2 linked regions of the Oreochromis niloticus genome follow. The protein of the gene in region 1 purifies or fractionates together with the protein of each later gene. This does not show direct contact. Links are inferred from orthologs where the notes say so. Each region holds a gene or a part of one and is shown in the gene's direction. Other genes may lie near its edges. The genes, in order: pla2g4ab and protein S100-A10.

The links.
Region 2: the proteins of pla2g4ab (region 1) and protein S100-A10 purify together in Homo sapiens (affinity purification with western blotting; 3 studies listed by BioGRID). This does not show direct contact. The link is inferred for Oreochromis niloticus from reciprocal best matches to the Homo sapiens genes PLA2G4A and S100A10.

What each region holds. Positions count from the first base shown.
Region 1 is NC_031981.2:2,445,035-2,455,314, forward strand, and holds the start of pla2g4ab (cytosolic phospholipase A2), read left to right. Parts: upstream 1-6,153; 5' UTR 6,154-6,447; intron 6,448-7,808; exon of another isoform or gene 7,809-7,922; intron 7,923-8,033; 5' UTR 8,034-8,123; coding exon 8,124-8,147; intron 8,148-9,257; coding exon 9,258-9,339; intron 9,340-9,518; coding exon 9,519-9,667; intron 9,668-10,216; coding exon 10,217-10,280. Other genes in the region: ptgs2b (prostaglandin G/H synthase 2), read right to left, coding at 1,249-1,661, 2,236-2,383, 2,493-2,779, 3,152-3,398, 3,493-3,576, 3,669-3,850, 4,120-4,263, 4,403-4,546 and 2 more. UniProt on the Homo sapiens protein: Has primarily calcium-dependent phospholipase and lysophospholipase activities, with a major role in membrane lipid remodeling and biosynthesis of lipid mediators of the inflammatory response.
Region 2 is NC_031985.2:17,138,017-17,147,936, reverse strand, and holds protein S100-A10, read left to right. Parts: upstream 1-6,756; 5' UTR 6,757-6,909; intron 6,910-7,855; 5' UTR 7,856-7,876; coding exon 7,877-8,005; intron 8,006-8,139; coding exon 8,140-8,301; 3' UTR 8,302-8,392; downstream 8,393-9,920. UniProt on the Homo sapiens protein: Because S100A10 induces the dimerization of ANXA2/p36, it may function as a regulator of protein phosphorylation in that the ANXA2 monomer is the preferred target (in vitro) of tyrosine-specific kinase.

The sequences.
Region 1 (10,280 bases):
AGAATCAGAATCAGAATCAGAATACTTTATTGATCCCTGGGGGAAATTATTTAGCAATCAGTAAATTGCTATCAGTAAATCAGTAAATCAGTTTCTTACATTCTTGCAACGACTATTATACCGGACAGTTTCAGTAATTACATTACGCTGTGGTCCCTGCATCTTGGTTGTTTTTGTGAGTTGATTATCTCAGAGTTTTGTTCTCTGTTTATATATTTGTGTGATTTATCAGTGATCCGGTCTCAGTCCAGCAGAGAACCTGTCCTCTATCAACAGTTCGGGCTAATGGTGGCAGCGTAATGATGTGGGGGATGTTTTCTTGACACAGTTTGGTCCCGTTAACACCAACAGAGCATAATTTAAATGTCAATAGGTCTCCAGCCATTGAGCACATTTGTTAGTTTTGCAACGTGTAGGAAGGAAGGAAGGTCCAACCCAACCCTGAGTGAGTGTGTGTGTACAAAGAACTTCTCCGAGTTACAGCCATTTGCATTTCAGTCGTGGCATGTGAACTGATAACTGTGCGCTTTACGTTCAGATAACAGCATCTTATCCTGCTGTCACAGCCAGTTCGGAGTTTATACAAGAACACAAAGTGACATCATGAAAACAGCAACACACACAGTTGATTTCTGAAGTATGACTTTCATCATTTATTCAGTTTAATACTCTGAAGACCACAGGCGCGCACCTGTACAATCAAGTGACAGAATATTTGTTCGTTCCTAAAAAAATACAAATAAAAAAATAGAGCGGATTCAACATACACGTGTTGTCAGTTCATATTACTCTGAGTAATATGAAGTTGAAATGAAATCACTAAAACAATGTGAACTGAAGATAGTCACAATCAGTCTTTGTCACTGCTGCACCCGAGCACTGCCCTTTAAAACGCTCACTGTTTATTACTGGAATACAACTATGGGAACATAAATGGAGAGGCAGCAGGTAATCCAAGGAAACATTTAACAGTAACTTACTGTTTTAATGAAAGTGTAAACTAACTTTCAAGTATTAAGTTGCAGTGGCTGAGGTTATCAGTATAAGAAGACAGTGTACAAAATAAATACAAACAATTACTGACTCTAATTTCAATTAAACTTACAAATACACATATAAAAATGTGTTCCACTTGTTCTGGTTTTATTTTACTGTATAAATATATAAAATAAATACACAAATAAATAAATAAATAAATCTTTTGTTTGTTTTTTTAAAAAACAATAACAACAACACGCTTAAATAAAATTAGAGCTCAGTAGTCCTTTCTTTCAAAATGATGGTGGGGTTGATGTCGCTGCCCCTCGACTGCGACGTGCTTGAGTTGATGATCATGGGCCCGGTCTCTTTAACGTCAGGCACATGAAAGGACGCCACGGGGCAGGGACCCTGCACGTTATTGCACACCAGCTTCTGGAGCGAGGCGGTGTTGACCATGTCGAAGCCGACTGTGCCTCCGAAGGTGCTGGGCTTCCAGTACTCCGGGGAGCAGATGGGATTTCCCATTAGGCCCTTGAGGGAGAAAGGAGCCCCCATCTCCACCATTGTTTCCCCAAAGATGCCGTTAGGTCTGGGCTTCTCCACCAGCAGGCCCGGGTAGAGCTCCACAGCATCGACGTCCCCGTACAGCTCCTCCAGCACCGCAGCCATTTCTTTCTCCCCTGAATAACACAAACAAGGAAACGGTTTTGGTCAGTAACACAATCTGGCGTCCTCCCCACTGGCTCGGTCACTGACAGATTTCATATGCCTTTACTTCCTGATTTTTATCTTTCCACTGGCATGCAAGCCATTTTTTTCTTCACTTATACAGCAAGTCAAAGTTAGTTTTCAATCGACATTCACCTCTTGAAAAGTTTAAATCTTCCTCTTTAAAGTAGAGGGACTCCCCGTGTCTGTTTATATCTCGCCTGCAGTGATGACAGTCTGCTTACTCTACCTTAAGATGAAATGACCATCTGGTTTTCAGAGTCATGGAAATAAATACCTAACCTTCAAAACTGCCAGCAACTGCTTAGGGACTCTGAGGCATTTCCTCAATATCAGGTAAACTATTGCATAAACTGTATTCTGCAGCCTACGGGTTTTTCAGTCACACTTTATGATAATAAGAATCATCGCGCTGCAAAGATATTAATCTAGCAATAGCTAGGCCTGAGACAGCAATTACAACAACCTGTTTTTGACACATTTTCAGCATACAGGTATTTTCAAGAAGTGCTGAATTTGTCTCACCTGTCAGGTCTTCGAAAGACGTGTAGGGCTTCATGGAGAATCGTTTCCTGTAGGCGTTAAGGGACTGGTAACGCATTTGTCTGCTGTTCTCTATGGACTTAATGGCCACATACAAGATGGGTCCGGGGACATTTCGACCACCAGCAACCTAAATTACAAAGAAGCACAAATGAAATTTCAATTCTGCATCCCTAAAGCAACGCTGGTCTTGTATGTTTCAGTCTAACTGCTGCTGCGGGAGCTTAAAGAGTTCTTACCCGTCCGGCAATCTGATTGGTGAACGACTCCACCAGGTTGCTGATGCCGTGCTCAGTCACGACAGAGGTGTTGAAGACAAACTGCTTGTAGCTGTAATCTGTCTCCTCAATGTGGAAACTATCAGGCATCAGAGGGTGCCAGTGATAAAGGGTGTTGAACTCGGATGCAATGCGGTTCTGGTACTGGAAGCGCTGGTTAAAGAGCAGCTCAGGGTCAAACTTCAGTTTGAAGTGATAGCCACTGAGATGCTGCACGTAGTCCTCAATCACGATTTTGATGGTCTCACCTGCCAGATGAGAAATGTGACGGTTTATACAATGAAGACACTCTAAATGCTAAAAGCCACTCTGTGCTTTAAAATAAATCGTGCTTATTGATTGATTGATTTGCATGTCTGTAGGTTGGGTAAGCACAAAGTGGATAGTAAAACACATTTCCTCTTTCTGATGTTGACAAGAAATTCTCAAGTCTTTCAGTAAATCAGGTTCCTGAAATGAAATGCTCCACTGTGTGCAACAGGGTCATTAGGAGGTGAAAACTAAGAAGTAAAACTTCCTTTTTTTAAAGAAAAATCCCCTGCTAACGATATTATTATTAGCTTTTTAATAAAAAATTTCCAACTACGTTACAGCTGGTATCTGGACTTCTTTTAACTTACCGATTAGGATGAGCCGTGCGGTCTGGAAGAGTCTTTCGTCATCCCAGTATGGGTGGACCTCTTTCAGCACATCGCACACACGGTTGTGTTCGCGGAGCCAGATGGTGGCGTACATCATCAGACCAGGGACCAGGCCGAATGCCTCGTGGCCGACAGCGAAGCGGTGAGAATCTGGGACGTGAGGGGGGTAATGCATCTCGACACCCACTTCCTTAACTGTCGGGGGGTACATCTCTCCATCAAGCATCTGCAGGGTTACACAAAAGAGGAAACCGCTGTGAGAAACGCACGTGAGCTGGTCTCTTTGACGCCTCGAGTACAGCTATCTTTTTCCCCCATACCTGATATTTCAGCTTGCCATCCTTAAAGAGTCTCAGCTTGTGCTGCTTCTCCAGGTTGTCACCGTAGATGTGGTTGAGGTCCACCTGAAAGTGTAAGACACGCCAATTAAAAACTGCGTCGCATTAAAATGAGTTTGCTTTTCAAAAACCGAGATCTTCAGACCCGCTCCACTTACCCCATGACCCTTAGCAACAGTGAAAGCAGGCCCTCTCTTCATGTCAGATTTGAAGAACTGGTGGGTGAAGTGCTGTGCGAAGAAGGCAAACATCAAACTGGTGCCCTGCGGGTCTGGTATAAACTGTCTCCTCATTAAGAGCTTCTCAGCCAGAACTTTAACATCAGGTAGCTCCTTTTTGCCTGGAAGAATAAGAAGACTTCACTGAGCACATAACACAATGATAGGAAAATCACAGCTCTTTGGGTCTGTTTCATACTTCTGACGCAAAAAATAACTTGATCTCTTTGGTTTGGGCTTGTAGGGGGAGGTTTTTCTGTGTTGCCTCATCTAAGAGGAAAACTAATTCCAATTTGCGCGCTTCCTATGATGTAATTCGACAAAGACGGTTTTGTTCAGTATCTTAAGAATCTCAGAAAACTGGTTTTCCAAAGGTAGACAGTGTACTCACCTACTACTCCCATAGGGGTTGGGCAATCCTGCGGCACAGGGGGGAGGGAGCGTGTATAGTAGGAAAGGTTGGAGTAGGCTTCCCAGCTCTTATAGCCGTAATCAGCATTATAAGTTGGAGGACTGTCAATCAAGTGGGATCGGGCTAGAGAAAGGAAAACCCATATTAGTCCTTCATTTAGTATAAACACTACAACAAGTTGCTGCGTAAATTGTTTAATGTACTGTGAAAAACTTTCCAGTCCACTTTTTTCATTTTTGCCTTCGGGCAGAGAGAGACTTACATGTCAGCACATATCTCATGATGACATCCCTGAGGAATGAGATGCTGTTGACGATGTTCCAGAAACCCTTGAAGTGGGTCAGGATGTAGTGGACTGTGTTGGGTGTTGGCTTCAGAGACACTTTGATCCAGGTGAAGAATTCAGCTGTAAGGGACAAAGAGAGCACGTGAATCAAGCCATCAAGTCACCACCAGAAATGCACCTTCATTTTTGTTTCACTCCAAGCGCGATGTTCACACTTACGTGTTGTGCAGTTTTGCCCATAGTACCCCGTGCGTGTGCAGTCACACTCGTATTCTTCTGAGCCCAGTGGTGAGCAGACACCCCTGTTCTGGCATGGCTCTGAGCAACATGGGTTAACTGTAACAGATAAGGTTGGACACTTACTATCTGTTTAATAAAAAAATAATTATTCAGTTCTCAAGAAGAATAAGAAGAAGATCTTATTTGGCATGACAATAATACTAATAGAAAGAAATCACGACTTCTAAACTGTTGCTGTGATTTGGGCTGTATCAATAAAATAAAATGGAAAAACTGTAAGAAATAATCTGCAGTTTCCTCAGCTTACCAGTTTCGCCGACAAGAAAGCACAGGGCCAACAGGAAAAACAGCAAAGTGAGTTTGTTCATGCTCCGAAGACTCCGCTTTTGTTTCATGTCTGCTCTCCCACTCGCGCGCGACGATGGTGAAATTTTGAATGTCCACAGCCAGGATGAGGCTTTTATAACACGGTGCTCCTCCTACCACCCCACCCACAAACTGTGACAAAAGTGATTTTTTGGTTTATTTTATTATATTAATGTGTTTGCTTATATTAGTGAGCAGGGTTTATGAAGGGGCTGTATATAAAATACATAAATCACCTGTTTTGCGAGTGTCTTTATGACTCTGGGTTACTGTACCCACACTATAATCGTTTCATTCCTTTTTGTCCACTTAAAATATCTTTATAGAACCAATATGTGATACGTGTTGTAATTTCTGATGCACTCTTGGCCACATCACTCTTTAAAAGACATTTTTAATGACAATGAGACTTTTAGCCGGATCAAAGACGGATATATAAAAACCACTTTGCTAAAAAGTGAATGCAGAACATTCCTTTTTGCGTCAAAATAACTTTATATCTTTCAAGAGAGTTAAGTTTGACGTCTGTTATAGGACAACAAGTAACTTACAACAGTTTAAATGTAGGCAATCCTTTTATTTTACTTTATTTATTTTTTTATTTTTTATTTTTTTTGAGGAAATACCGGAAATCATTTTTGGAAGAAACAAGTTTTCTTATCTACGGAATATTTATTTTCTATCCTCACTCCTTCAGTGCTACAGCAGGTAAATTAACTAATTGTATGCGTCTTTTGGGGTTTTTTTGTCGCCATTAAAACGCCACGCTGTGATTTTAATTAAAGTCTAATAATATTTACTGGTTTATATAACGTATTACCACGACACGCTTGGGGTTTTTTTGATATCTTTAGCCTCTACAAATCGTATGAACAAACATGGAGAAATGATAAGTAAAAATACTCGAGTACTCTTTGATTGATATTAAAAAAAATACAAGTTTGAGAATCTTTCCCGGAGATGTTTAATAAAAGTGAACATATAAAACTCTTTTTTTTTTCATTGAATTTCACTGAATTAAATGAATCATCACCTAAACCAGTAAAAAGTCGCATGGCACCTCCGTTTAAACGTTCATTTCATTCAGAAACTTTTTCAACCACAGATGCCACCTTGCGGTTGATGATCGTGCATATTTGGATCAAGTCTCAAAATCGGAGTCAGTCTGACTGCTACTCGGAAATTTCCTATTAAAAGAATCTTGACCATCTTTTTTTAAAACCAGCATTTAAACCCCGCTATATTTTTATTGTCTTCCGGTAGTTTTGTTTTTTTCTCTCGATGCAAACGTAATAAGCTACGATACTGCTCACTGCCGGGTACGGTAGCGCCTCCTCTCCACCTCCCGAGCTATTGGTGTTATCGACATGAGACATTTTTCTGGATTTGTGAGTTGATAGCATGCGCCTGTTAAGGTACGTGGATATTTCCTTTCCTTTTTAGGCACATTGATGTGTTTTTTCAAACGGGTTTGGGCGCAGTTTAAAGGAGGAGGTCTGCGCCTTTGCTCCTAATGGGTTAAACAGCCAAGGCTTAAATTTTACGCGACGCCGAAGACAAGGAAACTCACAGGCCAGTTTAAATAGGACCGATCACTGCAGGGATACACAAGTAAAACTGAATAAAACGGAACTTTTGCGAATTATTATTATGTTTATTCTACCTTCATAGATATTTTATATCATGTGTCATGTTTATATAAATGCAAATTCATAGTATCCACCACATCTTTACTGCCTTAGAAGGACTAACATTACTCAGCATCGCATGTAGCGCACTCATAACATCATCAATCCTTGTTTGATCTGCCCTTAATCTGCCGGGCTAATAAGAATAATGTAAAGCCTCTTAGCAGTGCCTAATGCTAAGTTTTGCGTGAAGCCTCTAATCCGTATAAGAATTAAATTGCAATGACTCCTCGGCGTAATCTTTCTCTGGAGACACGCACAGTGATTCACTGAAGTGAGTCTTCCGACCTGCTCCTTGTGTGGCTCAGGTGGGAGCACACTCGCCCAGGAGGAGCCTGACTGTGCTCCGGTGAAAGCCACAGCTGCGGCAGCTGTTTTGCATTATAGACCGTCGCTGCAAGTCTCTTTCGCGTTCTGCATCCTCATATGAAAATTTGCTGCCACGCGGCGCTTTGCTGAAGCTGGCACACTTGCAGGGCTCTGTAGCCTGCATGCGCCCATTGTATGCAGCAGCGGAACAAGGGCAGAGTGAACTGGCACCGTCCGAAGTTGGACCACTGATGCAAAGTACGTGACCGCTTCTGTGAACACACAGACGCTCTACGTGCTCTCAGTCCTCTCAGTAATTACACACTTTGGTGAGCAGCAGAGAAAAGGCTGGTGACCTTCATATGCTATCACTTTTACACTCGCACTCACACACATAGACATACACATATCTATGCAAATTTCTTATCACGATATGGTGTTCAGACATCACAAAGAGAAGGCGTTCGCGTTGCTAAAAATAGCCACCTTGCCACCTATTCTGCAAATGCGCACTAAGCTTTACATTTTGTCGTCCAGCATGTTGCATTTATTCAGGGAAGACCCTCCTCCCTTTACTGGCATATTTTCTCTCGCTCTCTTAACACATGCTTGTGGTGAACACACACACACACACACACACACACACACACACACACCCCATTTCTATTGGCCCAGTCCTCTTATCGGGATTTTGTGGCTCAGCACACTTCCTTTTACCCCTGCCAAGATGTAAAAGACTTCACTGGTATTTGCGAAGCGACTTATTTTTAAAAATTCCAATGCACTATAAAAAAAGTGTTTTGTTTAGGAAAGGCATCCTTTCAAGAGATATTGTAATATGTCCATTTGCTGCAACTCTGGCTAAAACTAAAGCTGTAAATCGCGGTAATGATGTTAGTATTTTGTTGTCGTTTGCATCACAGTTTTAATAGTAACATAATATTCTTTTTTCAGCCCGTTCAAACTCTAACCCTTTGTTTGCACTTCTTTGTTTCATATTTCAGGCTCTCGGTGCTGCAGTTTGTGACAGATATGTTCTCTTGACCTAAAGTTCACATCTTGACGAAGGCTTCCCTGCGAGTTGCTCACCTCACATGACAATGGCTTCCAATATAATTGTGAGTGTCGACACAGTGTGTGTTTACATGACTGTAAATAAAACTGAGGCCAAAACAAAAGTGGACGGTTTCTTTGGCATCAACCGTGACACAAATAATTCTGTGGAAGTTCTTAGTTTACTGGTATTAAAAAAATTCCCTCTTATCGCAAGCCACAGCCTTGGGTGTAAGCGCAACAATGAGCGTGTCAACGTCAAGGCCATTTTCATTTCCATGTTGGTGGAAGTCAAGGTTGAAAGGGTTGTTTTAAAAGAAAAATATGCATATTGTTTGATCAGTGTGACGTCTGAGTTTTTATCACGTAATTCCAGTTAAATTTCATTTATTTAGTACCATAATCATAAATCATAAAATAATTAAGCTCACAGCGTTGTAGAGGAAAAACTGAACAAGCGGCCTTTTAACAAGAAGGGGCGAGAGGGGAGCTGCAAAAAAGTCTCACAGCACTTCCTGTTTTACAGATCTGCAAATCGTCGTTGAAACTATTCGTCTTTTGGGTTTTTAAAAATAATTTAAGAGTGTGTAAAAGGCTGCCAGAAAGAGGAATCTTAAATAGTCACAATATCAAACTGCACTGCAACACGCAGAAATTCAAAACAACATCTGTTCTGTGAGATTGGAGAGATCTAATATCTAGAAATGACAAAGGGAACACTGTTGGGACCTTCAAGTAGTCGTATTTGAACAGTGTCCAATACTTTAACTTTCATTTCAGTGTGCTACCAAACTTTCAGGGATACGACAATGTAGCACAAGGGTAACTGAGGTGAAAGGGTTGCTGTAAAATATATAAAGGGTTTACAGTACGGTCCCATTAAATGCTCATCTACAGTATTTATTAGAGTCACAGTATTTGGGAAAGGGCTACAAATTTTGCAGTACTGTCAAAATATAAGGAGAAAGCTGTCGTAGCACAGTGTGAACACAGCTGGGAAGCGTATCCTTAACTGGAGAGTTTCACAGGGGAATGGCACTCTGTGTCGACCTGCCAAAAAACCCAGATGTTCTCATGTTCTGGATGTGTTCATTTTTTGCTCTCAACATGGTTGATGTGATTTTTTTCTCATGAAGCAATGAAGTGAGGCTGAACTCTGAATGTCCAAATTGCAGGTGGAGCAGCAGTTTTCTCACAAATTCACAGTGACTGTAGTTCGAGCTCAGAACGTCACCAAGGGAGCGCTGGGCGACCTGCGTAAGTGCTTATATAATTTTTTCCTTACAGTAACATATTACCATGCTTTTACTTCATATTGTTGGAATGTAATCCATGTAAATTTACAGTAAAAGAAATACAAAAGCACTTGATGATGGTTATTTTGAGTTTGGTTTTCAGCTGTGTAGTAACCCTGTTGAACTTGTTTGTGCGCCCAGTGGACACTCCAGACCCATATGTGGAGCTTTTCATCCCGACGGCCCCTGAAAGCAGAAAGAGGACCAAGCACATAGACAACGACATCAACCCAAAATGGAACGAGACCTTTCATTTCATTTTAGACCCCAACCAGCACAACGTTCTGGAGGTTAGACCTGCATTTACTGTAACAGAGCGCAGCACAGGATGACAAGAAGTAATGTCATGGAGCGCAATCCCACATAAACACAGCCCAACACTTGTAGCTCGCTATGAGGTGATATGTTAACATCATCCAAAAAACTAGTCTTTGAATGACTCAAGTGTTAGTTTGGGGTAAGCTACACAAGCGGCCTACATATTTACATCCATGACTAATGGAAAATCCTGCCATGAGGTGACTTTTAAAGACTTCTTGCACCTCAGCGCTGGCCGGTGACTTTATGCGGTCTGCCACTTGAAGGCTGAGTTTCCGTGGTTTCTAAATGGTTCTACTTTCTAATAACACCGTTTACAGTTGAAACTGTGTGATGCTGTTACAGCATCACACTCGAATTCGGTGAGGTCCTTAGTGCGACCCATGTTTGTGAAGGCAATCTGCATATACCGTCGAAGTCATAATCAATTTAACTAATCAACAAAACTAGCCAGTTGGAAGAACTGAACACCTGCCACAATTTCTATTTGAGTACAAACTGCTGTTGTTCATGTCCAACAGTTAACATTAATGGATGCCAACTACGTGATGGATGAGACGCTTGGGACAGCATCCTTCGAAATCT
Region 2 (9,920 bases), on another chromosome or scaffold:
AATGCAGACATAAGAGTAGGTAAAACAACACAAAGTCATAAATATACTTGGGAAAGCAGCTACTTTTTGTGTTTTATATACAAACTCTTTCATAACTCCTGTTGACTAAAGGCTATTTACTAAGCAAAGATATTGTACATACAAATAAATAAATAAAGAGAAACATCAGAAATGACTTTTTTCATGTTTTAGGATCCTCAGAAAATTCAACAACTAAACTTTACAGAATGCAAAACATGGATGTAGGAGCTACTATCTGAAGTAGCATATTGTAGCCTGCAGATTCCAAGCTTGGTGAAGTCACTCACTCGGATCTTGGCAGCTGTTCTGGAGTCTTTAGACACATCTCTCACTTGTTGTTTTTTTTCCAAGAGTCTTTGAAATCTTTCTCTTCCTACCTCTGCTAGGCTTGTTCTGTACCGAGTGTCTCTCTTTGAATTTCTTGATGATACTTGTCACTCCAGTGAGTGATAACTTTGCATACCCATCATCTCCTTTCTTGGAATCAAAAATTATTTTTCTCGAGTCTAAACTGATTTATTTTGTTGTCGTCATGATGCTTTCTTAGGTGTGAGCTCAAACCTTTGCTGAAGATTTTATATTCTGTGTAGCTTAAAAGACAAACCAACAGAGGTCGGTTAAAAAAGTCAGTTTTTCAGTAGTGACACTGGTCGTTTTGTTTATTTTCTTTCTTATTCTGTTTTGTGTGCAAGTAGAAAATTTTTAAGAAAAATAGCATGTTTAGAAATGTATATCAAAAATCCTTTCCTCTGTTCAAAAGCACTTGGTAAACACTTGAGAAAAAAAATCCTTTAAATCATTTACGGGGACTGATCATTTTATGTTTATTGTCTGCCATGGAGGTATTCAACTCCTTTGCTCAAGCAAAACTACACATGTATGAAATAAAACTGATTGTAGTTTCCATCATTATATTTTGACATCATATTCAGTATTATTAGCAGAACTTAAATTCATAATTTAAAGGAAACTGATGTCAGTTGTAGTCAACTGAGCTGTGCAGCCATGATACTGCTTTAATTTACAGTACAGAAATAATGAACTTCTACTAAGAAACTTACATGTGAAGTCAGGGTGTGTAGTCAGTACTGTCAGTGGCGTGAGTGAGTGCACGAATGAAGAAGTGCAGTATGCAGTGTTTGCAGAGCACTGGCACACTGGGCCCAGGTGTTGCCAGTGTGGCTGATTGGGATCAAAAGAAATGAAGGCAGGTTGGAGTATGCTGTCACAGCACACACTGTATTCAGCCTAATTCCACAATTTTGCTTTGCAAGTACAATGGCAATAAAAGCCTTTTCTATTCTATTGTATTCTTTTCAAAAGAATCAATTTTCTGGTTGAAAATAAATAAACGGATAAACAGAGGTCTTCTGCAGTGCATGCTGGTTTTGGTGCTCAAAGGATTTTAATTTACTAGAAAACTTATTTGGATTTAAAATGCAATGAGCAACAACTGATTTGTTCTTCAAAAAGACCGCCGTAGCTATTCACATGTCTCAGTGTTTCTTCCACAGGTGGAAAGTTTCCTGACAGCTGTGTTCAATAAGACCTAACCAGCTCTCTGTTGGGTGTGTACACTACTCCCTCATATTAAAATTCCTGTTTAAACAATGAACATGAGATATACATCCCTCACCTGCGTTTGACTTGGTCAATCTGTTTTTATTACAAAACAGCCGCTTTACTTCAAGCTGTATCTAGCAATCAGAAAGTGTTTCTTTTCGTCTTTCGTCAGATCTTTTATTGAACTGTGCAAGTGTGCTGATCAACACCAGGCCAGGGGAAGAATTATAACTGCAATAAAGAAAGACCATTATTACCCACACCTGGTCAAAAAGGAAAGTCAACCATACCACAATAAGTAGGCACACTATAAGTAAACCAGTTCTAAAAGTGAAGCTACCAGTCCTGCAACAGAAATCAAGTATAAGAAAGCTATACCTATTTTAGTGATTGCAGTAGAAGGTGACCTATTGAATTTGCCTGTGTGCGAGGGCCTCCAGGATGGAAGCAGTTAAAATAAAAAAAAAAAAGCAAACAAACTTGCTAAACAGGAATCTTGAAAACAGCCAATGTGAGTGTCACAAATACCCTGTTGAACCCTATGGAGGTGGTTTTCTCTTCACTCCGTTGACTCCGTTGAATCCAGGTAGGAGCAGACTTTTCTGTGACTTTTATTGTTTAGAGAGAAACTAGACAAATTTTGTCTTGTGGTTGAAGATTCATCTGTAATTATGTTAAACTGGCTGGGTTTTGGTTCTACTCTAACTGCATGTATTTTGTTTCAGTGAAGCTGCTCTTCCTTTTGAAAGGTATGTAAAACTTTTAGTTAAGAATCACATTTTTAAAAAGTAAAGACTTATTGTAAGTGCAGTCCATCTACATTTCTGTCCCTCTGCCGATGCATGCCAAATAATATTTCATGATCCATTTTATTTCTTGTCCAGATTCTTGTACAGCGCTGCAAAAATGTCAGACCCAACAAGACTGGAAATGGCATTGGCTGCAATGTTCAGTGTCTACATGTCCTACCAAGGAGATGACAAAAAACTGACCAAAGAACAATTTCTAAAACTAGTGAAGGATGAACTACCCGTACTTGGTGAGGTAAGGGAAAACACTGTAGTAAATCACTGCAAATGATCACAGTAACCTTAAATGTGTGTCTCGATGTCACTAAAGTGCAATGTAAATGTTTAAGGCACAGCTTAGCATTAAAATCAACTAGCCTCACAAATCTGTTGAGTTTGCAAATTTCTCATAACAGCCTGACTAAAAGCATGAACCAAGAGATACATTTTTTTTTTTTAAATTAATTAATTAAAAGAACAAAGTATTATTAAACTCGGCCCTTTTCTTGTGTTTTGTTTTAATGAAATGAACATAAACGACTGGCTCAAAACTTAAACACCTGTAATGTTAAGTAGAGAAATGGTAAATGCTTTACATTCACAGGCTCTTATTTTCAAAGTTATTAAATGTTTGTTTCACCTTTGCAGGGAAAAAATGAAGATGAGCTCTTCAAGTGTGTCGACCACAATGATGATAAACGTGTGGACTTTGAAGAGTTCGCCTCACTGGTTGCTGGTTGCGCCTGTGCAAGCCATGACGCCCTCCAAAAGGTCGTGAAAGAACTGGATTCAAAAGGCTTCCCAAAGTAAAGCACTGCTGATGTGGAAAGAAACCCAATATAGGCCTTACCTGGATTCACATCAAAACAAAGTCTGTCAAAGACTGCGTTTGTTTTTTCTTTAACTTGATTTGTCTTAGGGATGGATAGAAATGTTTGCTAGTTGCCTATTCACACCTCTGAACTAGTTGTTCCATGTTAGGATATACCCATATTGCCCCCTATTCTCACATGGGCTTAAGAATATAACACTGATGTTTGTGTCCACTGTACCTCCTTCAGGTAATGCTGCCATCTACTGTTAGAAAACTATGCCTATTGGCGGTAGTGTTCAAGTTACTAATTATTACTTTAAAGTAATCCTGTCACTTTACTGATTACTTTTGAAAATAAGTAATTAATCTTTCAAAACATGATACACAACCTGAAAAGGTAATAAAGCAATAGATCTTTTAGTCCAATTCTACTTTTTCTGCATAGTCCATCATATAAAATGTAATCAAATGAATTTTAATCATAACTTCATGCACATTGCATCAAGCAAAAATTAAATTATATGCAACAGTCTTTGACCTTAAGAAATCTGTTTAACATTTAAACCTATTTTCTGCATATTCCAGCATATAAAATAAAATGTTTTGTGTTTACACCCACTCTTTCAAATAGATGCAAGTGTAAAACAGCAGAAAATAAATAAACGCGTTACTTGTAACATGTTACTGTAACGCGTTACTGCCCATCTCTGATTATAGGTAATCCTTTCAGGACTATAGGAATGTGAAATATGTAAACCACTGAAACTGCTGGATGATAAAATCCACCCAGATTGTTTTTAAAGCCATAAAGTTTACTACCTTTTTTTTTTTTTTTTTAACTAAGAAGTAGATAAGCCTCTGAATTCCTGACTTGACCTGTTTCTGAATGGTTTCCTTCTATCCAAAAATACTATTTGACACGACATTCAACAAAATACAAGCTTTCTTGTAATTTACATAGTCTTTAGTTCTCTAGGCTTCTGGAAGGACATTCAAAGCTATTCTTTGAATGTTGGCTGCCTATTGCTCTGTAAAGATGATCCAAAGCTGCTTCAATAAGGTACAGGTCTGGGGGCTGAGGCCAGTCGATAACTGATAGTAATCCAGTTTTTGGAAATGCATTTGTTTCCAAAAACGTTTGTTTTCAGGGTAAACTGTGTAGTTTAATTGAATGGTATACATTCAGTTAGACCAAGCATATGTTCTTAATCATTCATTATTTGAATAAATATTCTATTTTTTATATTTCAGTTGTATTTTAGTACACTACTTATTTTATTATTGCTTCGTGCTTATGAGGGCCAATGATTTAATTTTATTTTTTATATTGTATTTGTACATCTATCACTTTTAAGAAGCCCCAACACCAGAGGCTGAAATGCAGCCCCAGACCATGACAGAGCCACCACCATATTTTATGGCTGTAGACACAGTGCAAATATTGATGTAAAGTTCTTCCTACGACGGGTATGTGGAGACCTGGTTTGTCAGGTTTTTCAGTACACACTTGTGAGAATTAGAAGACTAATGACAACGATTTTGATGTTTGCCAGGAATTACTCAAGCCTTTCTTAAGAAGAACTATGGCCTTAATTTAAATATATAGCTTAAATATAAGTCCCACATTCCTGTAGCACCAACAAAATGTATTTGAAGTATCCAAAATAAACAAAATGACATCTTGTGTAATGTCACTTTAATAATTTTATTACATTAACCTGTGTTAGACTAGCAGCCTGTCCAGGGTGTACCTTGCCTTTCACCCAGTAAAAACTCGGCTCCAGACTAACCACAACACTGACCTGGATAAGTGGTTAATTATTAATAGAATTATTATTATTGACAGTAATATAATTATTATTATATGGAAGCCAAGTAAAGCACAAGGACTTAGGTAAGTGCAGGATGGAAACGTGCGTGGTGTACTCAGTTGCTGGTTATGTTTTTTTGGCAACAAATCTGTGTGAAACTTGTTACTGTTTGTCCTGGTTTCAACTTTTTCAGATGAAATGAAGTATTTATTTCAAACCCTTATCATAGGATCATTCTTTGGATCGTCTGTCTCTGTCCATATCTTCCCTGCACTCTTCCACTCTATACACCAATAATTGATATAGTCATTTTTCTGCCATAATGTGTTTACGGTTCTTCGAACCCTCCCTGCAAAAGATCACCTTTTCAGAAAACTGCTTCAAGAAATCACTACTAATGGAGTCTGATAATAAGAAGAGAACTGGTTTAACCAAGAAACAAAACTGGAAATCTGGACTGACGAGTTATTAGAAAAAGAGAGTTAGTCAAGTACTGTATTTGTAGGTCTTTCAGTTAAAATGATATATTTAAGGATAACAGCAAGAAAAATAGTAAGGTAGAGGTTAAAAAAGGTAGTAGAGGTTAAAAGTGTGCTGGCAGAAATTTGGGTTAAAAAAAATAGATAGATATTCAGTTTGTTATTTGCTTAATAAACTTTTTAAACAGGTTTACAATATTTTAGTTTTCTTGTTAAGCACTGTGTATGTCTGTTTTTACACATTTTTCTACTGTCCTTTATATGGGACAACAGATTAGGATTACAGGATTAGGCTAATAAAGTAAAAAGCACTTCCACTTTGATCAGCTATGAGATTAACATGAAACCTAACATTAATACATAGCGAGATCAAATAGGTTAAAATAACAAAAAGTTGAGTGCAGGAAACATTGCAATAAAGTATTTTGGTGATTTTCATGTTAAATTATGTTTTTTTTTCTCCTTTGTTAATAAAATGAGATACAAACGGATCGGTTTGTTATTCAGACACAGCTTTAACACTGGGTCCAAAGCGTACCATTTGTAATACCCTGTTTTCACCACAATGTGGCGCACTGTATCCATCCAGCTATCTGTCGTCCATCTTTGATATAAAAAGCATTTCAGGATAATAGGAGTAAAGGTTCACCTTATGATAGGAATATAAATGCAGATAATATGAGACAAAACAGTCCTTGAAACCACACTGGCTGGATTGCCTCTGTTGTGAATGATAGCGATAGTTTACAGAATTGAGCTTGTACTCAGCAGAATGCTGCTGATTGGCTCTTCTGCTGATGTGTATGTTTTCCTGTGCTTATCAAAAATCCTGTTCTTTAGTTGCTATTTGTTGTTGTTGTTGTTGTTGTTGTTGTTGTTCTCTGTATTTTGTCTCACAATACCAGACAGAAAATCTCGGGCCTTTAGCTGTCGTATGAATACTCCTTTAGGTATCAGTAAGTCTAACAGGTAAATTACAGATTTTCCAGCCTACGAAATTACAGTAAATAGTTTTTAAAAATCCTTTAAACCTAAGGTGTGTTTATTATGGAGATTAACACAGAAAAGTAGTGCGTGTGTGGGAGGTGGGCGGTGGAGAGGGGCGGGGGGTCTGTTAAACCGGTAGCCTAAACTTTGATGAAAATTTATCTTAAATTCCACAAAAACGGCTTTTAGCTCTTCTATCAGCAACAATACTAACTTTTTCCTTGTTTTTAATTCAGATGACTAAACTTAAGCTAAAGTCGTACTGATATATTTACTCTCCTATTACTCCAGTGTATTAACTGTTCAGAGAGTCCAGCGTCTGCACAGCCACAGTGTGAGTCAGTGCGCACAGCCAGGGCGGCGCCTGACTATAAAATCTCTGTTGCTTGTTGCAGACGTCTGAACATTCGCACCTCTTCTGCTGACCACGTCCCAGCAACTGTACGGTAAGAAACTTTCTGCTCTTGTCCTACAGGTGTGGCTTTGCCACGAGTTTTTTTTTTTAATATAAACTTTAGTTGCTCAAACATACAGACATACAGCTAGGACCCTCTGGGTGTGAGAATAGTGTTTCATATTGTCTAACCTACTTTAATCCGCTCCCAGTCACTGCTTTGTATTTACTGAAGCTCCCTCTTTGTGAATTTCTAACGGTTTCTAACGGATCTGTGTATTTCCTCTGCTGTAACTAAGTTAGGCTGCAACTTTTAGTTAGTTTATTGTGTTTCTTTCTCTTGTTTTCAATCTTTCACATTAATTACACTTTAATTGTTTTTCCAATGTTCTAATTACTTTTATTAATAAAATATATAATTAACATTTTTACATTAAGCTCTGATTCACATTTAAGACAGTTAACTAGGTCTCCATATAGTCGATATAAGCCTTTGTAAGGGTGTGGTTGGGTGGTTGGGTTGGGTGTGGGCATGTACACACATGTGCTTGTTCCTCCAGTGTCCTATCTCATTACTCACATTGAATCCCACCATTTTGGGTCTCACATTTTTCAGTTCAAGTTGTTCACATTTTCCATTCTCTTGCACACAAATAACACACCCTCCCTCCCACTTCTCCTTTCTTTTAACTCTTACAGCTACAAAGACAGTAATTCAAATGTTGAGATTTTCTGTATTTTGCACAGTGGTTTACTAAAATTTCAATGACATACCTTTACTGTCGTCCCACGAGCATCACTCATCAGTGGGAAGTACAACAAAGACCCAAATGTGTCAGCTCCATCAATAATGGACGAGTTTAACAGCGTCACAGCCAAAGCAGCTTTCATAAATGCTTTCTAAGGACTTGTTTGGAAAATGTCAGCTGAAGTTAAACTGGATTGCTATCACTTGTCATAGTCAACATTTTCTGCTGTATCTGAACATTGTTTTTCAGTCTAAACACATTCCAGCAACCATGCCTTCAGAACTGGAAAACTGCATGGAAGGACTCATCAAGGTGTTCCACCGTTACGCCAAGAATGGTTCGCTCACCCGGCAAAACCTCAGACAGCTAATGGAGGCTGAGCTTTCCAGCTTCCTTAAGGTGAGATGAGACCAAAACGTAAATTGTACAATCACGCTGCGCATTATTTACACACTGTAATCCAACACTATGCCACCTCGTGTGCAACCTCACTGTTGCTGATGTATCCTCACACACCCTTTTTTTAAACACAGTGTCAAAAAGATCCTGCTGCTGTGGACAAGATCATGAAAGACTTGGATGCCAACGGTGATGGTCTTGTGAACTTTGAGGAGTTTGTTTCTCTGGTTGTTGGACTGTCTGTTGCCTGTGAGCAGTGCTATCAGCTGGAAATGAAGAAGACTGGAAAGAAGTAGGAAGTACAACAGTGGAAGAGAATAGACCAAAAAGCATTGCTTTTTTTTTTTTGTAAAGTTTTGTTCATTAAAAGTGCTGAATCCTTTTAAACCTCTTGTGTCTTGTGTTTCCTAGCTATGTAATCTTTAAGTTAGACAGATTTGCCTATAAATCTTCAACTTTTTATACATGTGTTTTTGTAAGCAAGCACCAGCACCATTTCCATTTGAGAAGCTGGTAAAGCTTAATCCAGACAGCTTTCTCTGTTGGCATTGTAACTGAGTGAGTACTTTATGTTTCCCCGAGTGTTAAAGGGCAGATGAGCCACTCCCTCCCTGACAAAGTCCCTGCTTTATCACTGCTCTGAGGAATCTGCTGAATGTTGTAGGCATGAACACACCTCTCTCAGTGAGGCATAAACTCTCAGAGGATGTTGCAACTCTATGAATAAAACAGGTGATAACATTGCCTAGTCAGTTTGATTTGTATCTTGCAAGCCCTCAACTGACTCACAAGAACAGCACATCACTGTTCTTGTGCAGATCACAAAAATCCCACTGTGTTTCATGTCTGGTGAAAGTTGAATAACACCAGAGAAAGAGAGAGGGGAACAGGATAACCCCTTCACCACCCGTCTCTCATTATTCTTACTGAACAGAACAAATATCTTTGCTCTAAAACGAAGTCTTCCAGGCAGCCCTACCTCTCACGCATGCTCCAGCAATCAAATCTGTTATTGATAGATGTGCAGATAGACTGGGAGCCACTGTTTACTATGATGGTCTGCCGATCCCAGTGAAGTCATCAAAGTTTTTACTGCCTGAGAAAAGCCTGCCTGAAAGGCTAAACCCAGGAGGAAGAGGTCTTCTTGAGCTCTTGGCAAACACCGCTTTGGGCAGGGCTTAACTACTGGTTTGTCAGTGTTCATGGTTACTGGGAAAACACTGAAGTTGCTATGTGACTCTGTGATGACTCTTAAGTGTGTGTGTGTGTCTGTGTGTGTGTAGCTAGAGTTTGCACCACTTGGTTTACAGAAGCACCCCGCCCATGTGACCCACAGCTTAGATTCCAAGACTGCTGCTTTTTCAGTGCATTTCCTTGTATTTAGTGCCTCCTGCAGGCTATATGTTTATCATGTTGCCTAAAAGAAAAGAAAATCATCATTTGTCTAGATGAATTACTCTTCGAGCTTGAGGCAAGTTACCAGACACTGATCGGTGACACCACTGTACGTGGCATGTCTAGTTTTCTAACAGACTTTCTAATATAGTAATAATGACATTTGTCACAACATTTTTCTCACTGAAATAATCCTGCGTACTTTTTGGTTTTAAAGTTGCTCAAGTCATTCCTGGCGGGGGCGTTCTGTGGTGTGAGTTTGGGGATTACCAAATATTCACTGTGGCATGCCACGCCCATCTTGGACACACCAAAAAAAGCCCCTCACTGTGGAAACTTGTTAAACAATAACATTAATGTCCCAAACATACCAACCATCCCCAACGTCCAGTTTGCAAGCAGATGTTGCCATGGGAAATAACTATTGTGATCCTGATACTGATTCAATTCACAGTTACATTTAGTTGAATGTTTTTTTTACCCCCAGTGTTCAAATGTGAGCGTTAGAAACCAATAGACA